Linked DNA regions of Bombyx mori. The protein of the gene in region 2 purifies or fractionates together with the protein of the main gene of each other region. This does not show direct contact. Links are inferred from orthologs where the notes say so. Each region holds a gene or a part of one and is shown on either strand. Other genes may lie near its edges. The genes, in order: sterol regulatory element-binding protein 1 and sterol regulatory element-binding protein cleavage-activating protein.

The links.
Region 1: the proteins of sterol regulatory element-binding protein cleavage-activating protein (region 2) and sterol regulatory element-binding protein 1 purify together in Homo sapiens (affinity purification with western blotting; 4 studies listed by BioGRID and IntAct, with this or other methods). This does not show direct contact. The link is inferred for Bombyx mori from reciprocal best matches to the Homo sapiens genes SCAP and SREBF1.

What each region holds. Positions count from the first base shown.
Region 1 is NC_085119.1:8,265,582-8,269,990, forward strand, and holds the start of sterol regulatory element-binding protein 1, read right to left. Parts: upstream 2,804-4,409; 5' UTR 2,644-2,803; coding exon 2,580-2,643; intron 2,501-2,579; coding exon 1,868-2,500; intron 1,702-1,867; coding exon 1,415-1,701; intron 1,333-1,414; coding exon 1,102-1,332; intron 922-1,101; coding exon 729-921; intron 580-728; coding exon 392-579; intron 89-391; coding exon 1-88.
Region 2 is NC_085107.1:13,867,024-13,870,859, reverse strand, and holds part of sterol regulatory element-binding protein cleavage-activating protein, read left to right. Parts: intron 1-795; coding exon 796-903; intron 904-1,479; exon of another isoform or gene 1,480-1,739; intron 1,740-1,808; exon of another isoform or gene 1,809-2,086; intron 2,087-2,121; coding exon 2,122-2,230; intron 2,231-3,836. UniProt on the Homo sapiens protein: Escort protein required for cholesterol as well as lipid homeostasis.

The DNA.
Region 1 (4,409 bases), on a different chromosome or scaffold from region 2:
TAGCTTGACCTGGGCCACCTGCCTGGACACTTCTTCCACATGCTTCCAATGCTCGATGGAGTTCTAGTCGCGTATTATTTAGATCGCCCTGAAAATAAAGTTTATACATGTTTTACAAATTATTTTATTCTTAATCTAGATTTAGTAAAAATGCCCTGTCTACATAATGCTAAAAGGGACGAAAGGATACGGACACTGTACTGTACTATATTCCAAACAGAACAATGTATTAGTAGCTGTATTCCTTAACGAATACATATTTATTTTCATTGTATGAAAGTATGAACTTCAGATATAAATTGGATCGAGAATTAACTATTTATTTATTATTTATTTGCAAAGCAGCAATGAAATGCATTGTTCAGGTATAATTAAATTATGATTCACTTACCTTTTTAAGATGGTTGCCAGCAAGCCTTTTATGTTTGTAGAATAAACCAGCTTCCTTGGACTGACTTTTTGGTACAGAATCTCCATAAACTAGTAACTTTACCAAACAGCCTCCGAGTATTACAAAGTTAACAAGATATATAAAGAATGTATTAAAAACGCAAATCGCCCAAGATGATCCTTCATAACCTGAAAAAAAGTTTAATATATTTTTATAGTTGCAATTTTTTTTGTTCCTAAACCAATATTTCAAAAACTACGCTTTTTTGTATCAAGCTTATTTCTTTAAAACTGATTTTCATAATAAGATACACATAAAATATTAAATGAAAACAAACTTGAATCATCTTCTGATAGAATTTTTCTTTGATCAATTCTTGCATTGAAATCTGTAGTTGTATACTCTGTTGTAAAACTGCTAAAGAATGTGCTAAATGGGTTGAAAGCAATAAGCCCAACCATGAAGGCACATAACGCCAGTCGTGAATGATCACCCATACCCATTACTATCTTTGAGTATTTATCTTCAGTCTGCAAATTCATAAAATTAAATATGAATTTTCTTTAATAAACAAAATATCTTCTTTTAATAACAAATTCAGATATGTAAACAATTTAGATGAAAAAAAATCTTACACAAAAATTATACTTCAGAGGATATTCCAATTGGAATATTATGCTAAGTAGTAATATACTATATTAAAAAATTACCTTGTATTCTGGTGAAGAAGGTGTGTCGCTGTCAATTGAATGTGGAGAATGATAAGGTGATGACACATCACTGTGTGGTGGAGTATAACCTCCTTCAAATATTGGCTCTTTAACTCCAGACTTTTGACAAACCTGTTTAAGAGCTATATTTTCTTGTTTTAACCTAGTGTTCTGACTTCGCAAATACTTAATGTACTCAATTGTTTTACGCAATATTGCTGACTTGTTCAACTGTAAACAGGATATGAGGAAATTAAACAAGAAATTCAACTTTTCAAACTAATTGTTATTAAAAATAAGTATTACTGGTTACCTTGGCCTCTTCACCAACAAGCATATTCTTCAATTCCACTATTCTATCATTAATACTAGTTCTGTAACGTCTTTCAATGGCATTGTGAGCACTGCGTTTCACTTCTTTCACTTTTGGAGGTCCAATGTTTGGTGCAGGGTTTAAAGCAATTTTATCACCTTCTAGTACAACTGCAGGTATTCCCGTCAATAAAGTAGTACCGTTACTGTTTGTAAAAAATGTGTGTATGGGTGTTGTCTCCGATCCTGCCTTTGCATTTGTAATAATATTTTGGTTTGTGCTCGAAACTGGAAAGAACAATTACTGTATATTGTTGACTACATTTTTTGAATAATGTGCAATGGTAAACCAGTACTGGATATATTAGCAAGATTGAGAAAAAGAACCATTTAAACTTGACTATCATTATCATAACATCAGAATAAAAAAGAATTTACCACAATCTGTACTTACCCTGTAATGGAGTACTGGTATACATCAACGTTTGTGTCTTTGGGTTAATGATATTCGACTGCAATAACACTGGTGAGAAATTAGAATCAGAACTTTTTAATATAAAAGGTACACCTTTGGGATTGTTTTGTATCAGTAGAGGTTGACTCTGCTGTTTTAGGGGGCTAGTTTTATTTACTTGTGGAACATTATCAACTTGAATGACATTTGACCTTTTGTCAGGCATAGGTTGGATATTTCCAGCCGGACCCAAATTAACAAACACGGGGCTCTGTACTACTTGTTGAAAAATCATCGGCTGATTTTGAACTTGAGTCCTCTGTTGTGGTATAACTTCAGGAAACGTCACGGACGCATTCTCAAGGGATGTTGGCAAATTGAATTTCTCTTCTTTAATATATCCACCTTGTATTGTTTTACTGATCGGGGGCGTTGGCCTAATTCTATGCGTGTGCTGTGACATCACTGGATTCCCGGTATGATTATAATTCGGCGAAACTTGTGGAGATGATGAAATTTCAGGCTTGCATTTCGTATCAATGTCCAACAGCCCTGTTTCATTTGTATTGTCCACAAAAGTAAGTTCCTGTTCTAATTTTGTCATAAAATCCCCATCGCAATTATTTAAAAAATCTGTAAAATAACATTAAATTGATATATGTATTGCTTATCGTGTTCACACTTCGCAATAGTCATAAGCAATTACACTTGCCTTCAATTTCTGCAATGTCGTGGACATTGAAAACGTCCGCATTCATAAAAGGATCAATATCCATTTTTAACAATTCTTAAACCATAAAACCATAACAAGAATTTAATTAGGTGTTTTTGGAAATTATTCTTATTTACAAATTTTGGCATTATTTTGACGTTTATCTGATGATTCTCCATCGACCAATCGGTGAGAGCTATCCTGTGGTCCGATTTTACGTCACAGTTTTAGACTGGGTGCATATTTTACATTCGCACCGGCCCAGAGTATGCCGCACATTGGCAGATAGATTATCTCCAAATTTTCACCAGAAACCACACAAACTAATATAAGCATTGGCGTAAGAGAGAGATGCAATGAAAATTGCAAGTGTGGCACGCATTTACCATTATCGCCCAAACTAAAATTACATACATTCTTATAAATGTTGATATTGTCCTAGGATGTGAAAGTGATATGAGCAAATATAAAATGGTATGATGTATGCTTGTGAGTAACAAGTTTTTGGGAATGTTCCGAGCTATTGTATACTACAACAGAATGATATTCTGTTTTAAGCAGTGTAATCTTTAGCTATAAATAGCTCGATTATTTAACAGTAATTCAGTTTGAATTCATTACTGGAGCCCGTTACGACGGGCTAGTAATGAATTCATTATGTAGACAAAAGAGTTTATCAAATGAAATTTTTGGCGGGAACGCAAGGAGCGAAGTTGTCTGAGTTGTTTTATTTTGTATATTTAATGTTTCTTTGGGTTTAAATGTTTAATAACGGTAGTTTATTAACTGTTTAGTATCTGTGAAAGTGCAGAGATGTGTCAAAATGAAACAAAGCCGATGAACGTAGCTTCTCGGGATCCTCCAAAAAATCCACTGGAAGCACTCCAGTGGCTATTTACTGATAAAATCTCAGTAAATAACCACCATTTTACTAAGAGTATGTTTCATCCCATATCATCTCATCACATAATTTCATTTCATTTCTTATATAAAAAAATTACAAAAGATTAGGCAGTATGGCAGCATACCTTTGCCTTTCCAGTTGGAAAAATAGAATTACTACTACTTTAACAAATGTCTGAAACTGTAGGTCCATTAAATTTCTTTACATACGGTACCGTACTGTTTGCTTCCGGTAAAATAAGTGCCTTAGAACATTTCCTCAAAAGTGTTATTTACAGTACCTACTTAAGTACGGTACACATTTTGAAGTAGGTAATTGTTGTTATTTGTTCTGCTTTTTTTTAGTGTGGCAATTTCACATTATCCCACATTTGTGGGACATATGGAGGGTAGAGGTAAGGAGCACCATCTTGTTTAAGGGACATGTTGAAAAAGTGTCTATCTGTAAACAGCAAATTATAGTTCGAAAACTCACCGAATTAGCGCTAGTGTAGCAAGGGGAAATAGTATGAATATAGAAGTTTTAAACTGAGTGAAGTGTGCTGGATTGCAGTGAAGGCTATGCTCCGATTTACACTGCGAGCACTGTTCAGTACTCTCACTGCTATTCGTTACCTATGTTAAGGACTGACAGTATACAGTCGTAGTAACTTAAGGAATGATTGATGATACATGATGATGAATGGAACGGAGGAATGATACATGTTTTCATAAATCTTCACTTCAGCACTTTTACCGTGCATAATATTTGCTTGCATAATATTTGATTATATAAATTGCTTGAAGAACAATATTTTCTTTTACTAAAAATATACTTACTTTTAGCGATTAATTAAACTGACAATAACTTGAATATTCTATTTTCAAATATAAGTAAATTTAAACAAGATTTTTTTGCTGAAGTGAAAACTCCGCCATGACAACGTC
Region 2 (3,836 bases):
TTGTTTTTTTATTAAAACACATAAACATAGAGAATTTAGCCAAATCAAAAATCAAAATTGTATAATATGTATCTTCAATAAAAATCTGTTATTCCAGAACAAATTCATATTTTTATAGTAACAGCGGGTGATAATAATAATTATTTTACCTAGTTATTGATGCCTGGTATTTATTTTTGATAACACCTCATTATACAGTGAATTCAGGAAGAAAATATATTTGTCACAAGCCGATAGTTTCGTTAAACCCGCGATGCTTAAGAATCCATTTGCTTCTAAAAATCACATTGTAATGCATAGAAACGCTAGTAAGATATCGGTCATGATAATAGCTACCGTTAAAGGGTATATAGTACATACATTTTAAAGTAGGTCAATCATTTCTCAAAAACGTCTCATAGTTCTTGGTCTGTACCATATAATGATTAGACATGAGAAGACCACCATTGGCATGTTAACATAGACACAATGATAATGAAGACAATAAGATTTAAGGGAATGGAAATTCGTACGTCGTGTCTTTTCATACAGTTGTACATTCATTGTGTGGGTCAGTATTCTGAGCAGACTATCAATTTATATAACTATAAATTTAAAAGCAATTGATTATAAAAGACTTTGAAATAAAAGTTAGTCATTTTATTTAACCTGTGTGAGAATTGAGTTACGGCATTATCACATGTCTACACCCACATACTATGTCGTCTATGAGCGTCTTACCTACAGATGATTCATTACACACTAATAGATCTTAATTAAATTCATATTTTTATAGTTTGCTTCTACATTTTGCAGCACCTACTTCTCAGTTGGACCTTCTATTCAATGAAACGCAAAGACTTCCATATATTTGGGCAAAGGACAAACCGCTACTGTATGTTCAACAAATCATTTTAAAAATTGGTAAGTGCATATACATTCAATAAAGTATCTTATTCTTTTTTTATTAGACGTTCATTGAACTTTTGGGGATTCACTTTCGTCCAGAGCTTTATTTGGACTTTTAAAGTGGTCTAAAAAGTATGGTCCAAGTTATTCAATATTAGTCTTTCTTTATCTTTTAGCTTTGACAAAGTATCTCCTGTATGAACAAGAAGAGGTGTTAAGATTGCAAATATTAGCAGCATTGGTTCCTTTTTGTCTGTCGCTCGTCAATACGACTTCATGACTCAATGGGGGGTGGCGACGTGAACGGTTTTGCGTCAATCAGCTATCGCATAACGCTGTTTCGTTGGTGTCGTCTTACTAAAACTGTAGGGTATATCCAAGCTGTTTGTGTTCCCACGTGGGCTATCGTCAAACATCATATCGTTTGTGTGACGCGAATCAAACACGCATTCAATACGGATGAGACACGAATCATTGCGTGAGCTTGGGCGCTCGGCACGCAAGACACGCCGTGAATTTATCAACTCAACCAAGCCATTAGTGGGTTTAGCTAGAAATAATAAACCGTATCATTAATCAAACATGAACGAGTCGATAATTAACGTCTACATTTTATTGTTCCTTGACCTTAAAAAAGTACACCAATAATAAATACTATTATGGATCATTATAAAATATGTAAAATGAACAGACACAACAAATACTTTTTATTCACGTTGAAGAAATGTATCGTTGCTTACATTGATTTTTTTTTGACTGGTGTTGTCAGCATTTCACAATGTCATGCCTCCTTGATGTTAAGGGTATTCAAGAGTATAGACGAACTACATACTTGTAACTTCAAGGAACGTCTGAAATGTGTTCAAGGAATGTCTTAGAATGATATTCGAAGTGTTAGGTTATGATATGTTTCAACTTACTGTTTATTTTGTCCCAATCGTTTGACAAATAAAACTGATTTGATAATTTTGAGGTCGGAATCGAGGGCACATACTCGTAATAGTTTTAAGACGCAAAGTCTTCTATGGTCGTAAATACAATTCACATTGCATACTTTTGGTTTTAGTATGCCAAAAATCATAATAGTGTTATACTCGTATATTTACATAAACATACATCGTCATGTTTGGTTAGTTTTACGCCCAAAAAACAATAAATATAATTTTGATTGATTATAGTTATTTTATTACATTGACGTATTAAAAAAAAACAAATTGCGTTCTGATATTCCAGGCGTATCACCATGGAATTCGAATTTGAAAATGTGGGACGCGTTCCGGGCTCCAATCCAAGAAGTGTTCCGGTTGTTAGAAACCATCAGAAATCACGAAGATCCAGATTTGTGAGTCATCAGTTTCGTGTTACGTCAATCATGTTTCATGTAAATTTTGTCAAATCCGGCACCCTATGTGGGTTGATCTTTGATTTGACTTTGATTCAATCGGTACCAAACAGGTTAGCCAGCCAAGGCAATCAGAATATTTAAAAAAATAATAATCAAGATCTTGCTAGTTGTTTTGGAGTTTGTATGTAACATACACACCCACGTCAACTTTATATACATAGTTAAACAATATTCTACAATTTTCTTTCTGGTCGTTTTTCTAATTGTACGTTCGAATCTGAACAACAACAAAACGTAACTCTCGTACATCTTTTAAAGTTTAAATAGTTGTTTGTAATGTCCTTAAATACCTCTTCAAACGAGGCTTTTAGAGAGTACTTAACGGTAGGCAGCGGGTTGGCTGTGCCCCTGGCATTGCTGGCGGCGGTAACTACTCATCACTAGGTGGGCAGTACGCTCGTCCAAAAAAAAATGTAAATTAAAAAAAAACTTTAAGGCACTAACAAGTTTTTTTATTGCTTTGATGGGTGGACGAGCTCACAGCCCACCTGGTCTTAAGTGGTTACTGAAGCCCATAGACATCTACAACGTAAATGCGCCCCCCACCTTGAGATATAACTTCTAAGGTCTTAGTATAGTTACAACGGCTGCCCCACCCTTCAAACCAAATCGCATTACTGCTTCACGGCAGAAATAAGAGGTCCCACCACTAATAAAATGTTGAATGTTAATCATATGTTTCCACTAACCCCTACTCATGTGAGTATATATCGGTTATAGACCTAAAAATTTTAAACTTATTCTACTTTAAAGTGTTCCCAACTAATTCCTAGGTACCTACCGTACTAATCAGCTGTTTCTATAATGCAAATACTAACAAATTTGATATTAAATTCAAATAAAGAACGTTTTGTTAGCATTCATACTAATTATCTACAGAACGGCGTGATGACATTGAGCTGTAATTAAAATCCAAATATTTGATTTTTTATTTTACATCGACGTGACATCACACTGATTTAGAATAATAGCAGTCGCCACGTTCTCCGACTTTTCACTGTTATAATATTATTATAAGACTCGAACAGGAATGTACAGAATTATATTATTATATTCTATACATTGAAAAAAAAAATGTTACATTTAGGTGTAATATAATACCCGATTCAAACATTATGTAATGTTTATGTAATGTAATATAATACCCAATAAAACATTTTCCTCTGTCTTTTTTTATTGAGCAGCGCAATATCTACTAGACTGATTTAAATAAATATTTATCTATAACATCTTATTAAATCTTATTAAATTATACTAGTGGTCTCTTTGTAGTCGAAATTCCATTATAATTAATTGAAATTATACGTTTGGACATTATTATGGTTCTATTGTCAAATACTATACTTCTATAATCACAGATTTAGCCAAGACCACACTATAGACAAATAATATTAAAGACAAACAATATTAATCTATTCTCAATTTGACCACAGACTAAAAGTTTGACAATAAACACGTATATATGCGTGCGTGTTAAATACATGGTAGTGTGTGTTATGTTTTTTTATTGATTTAATATATGTTTAATGCATAATATAAAATA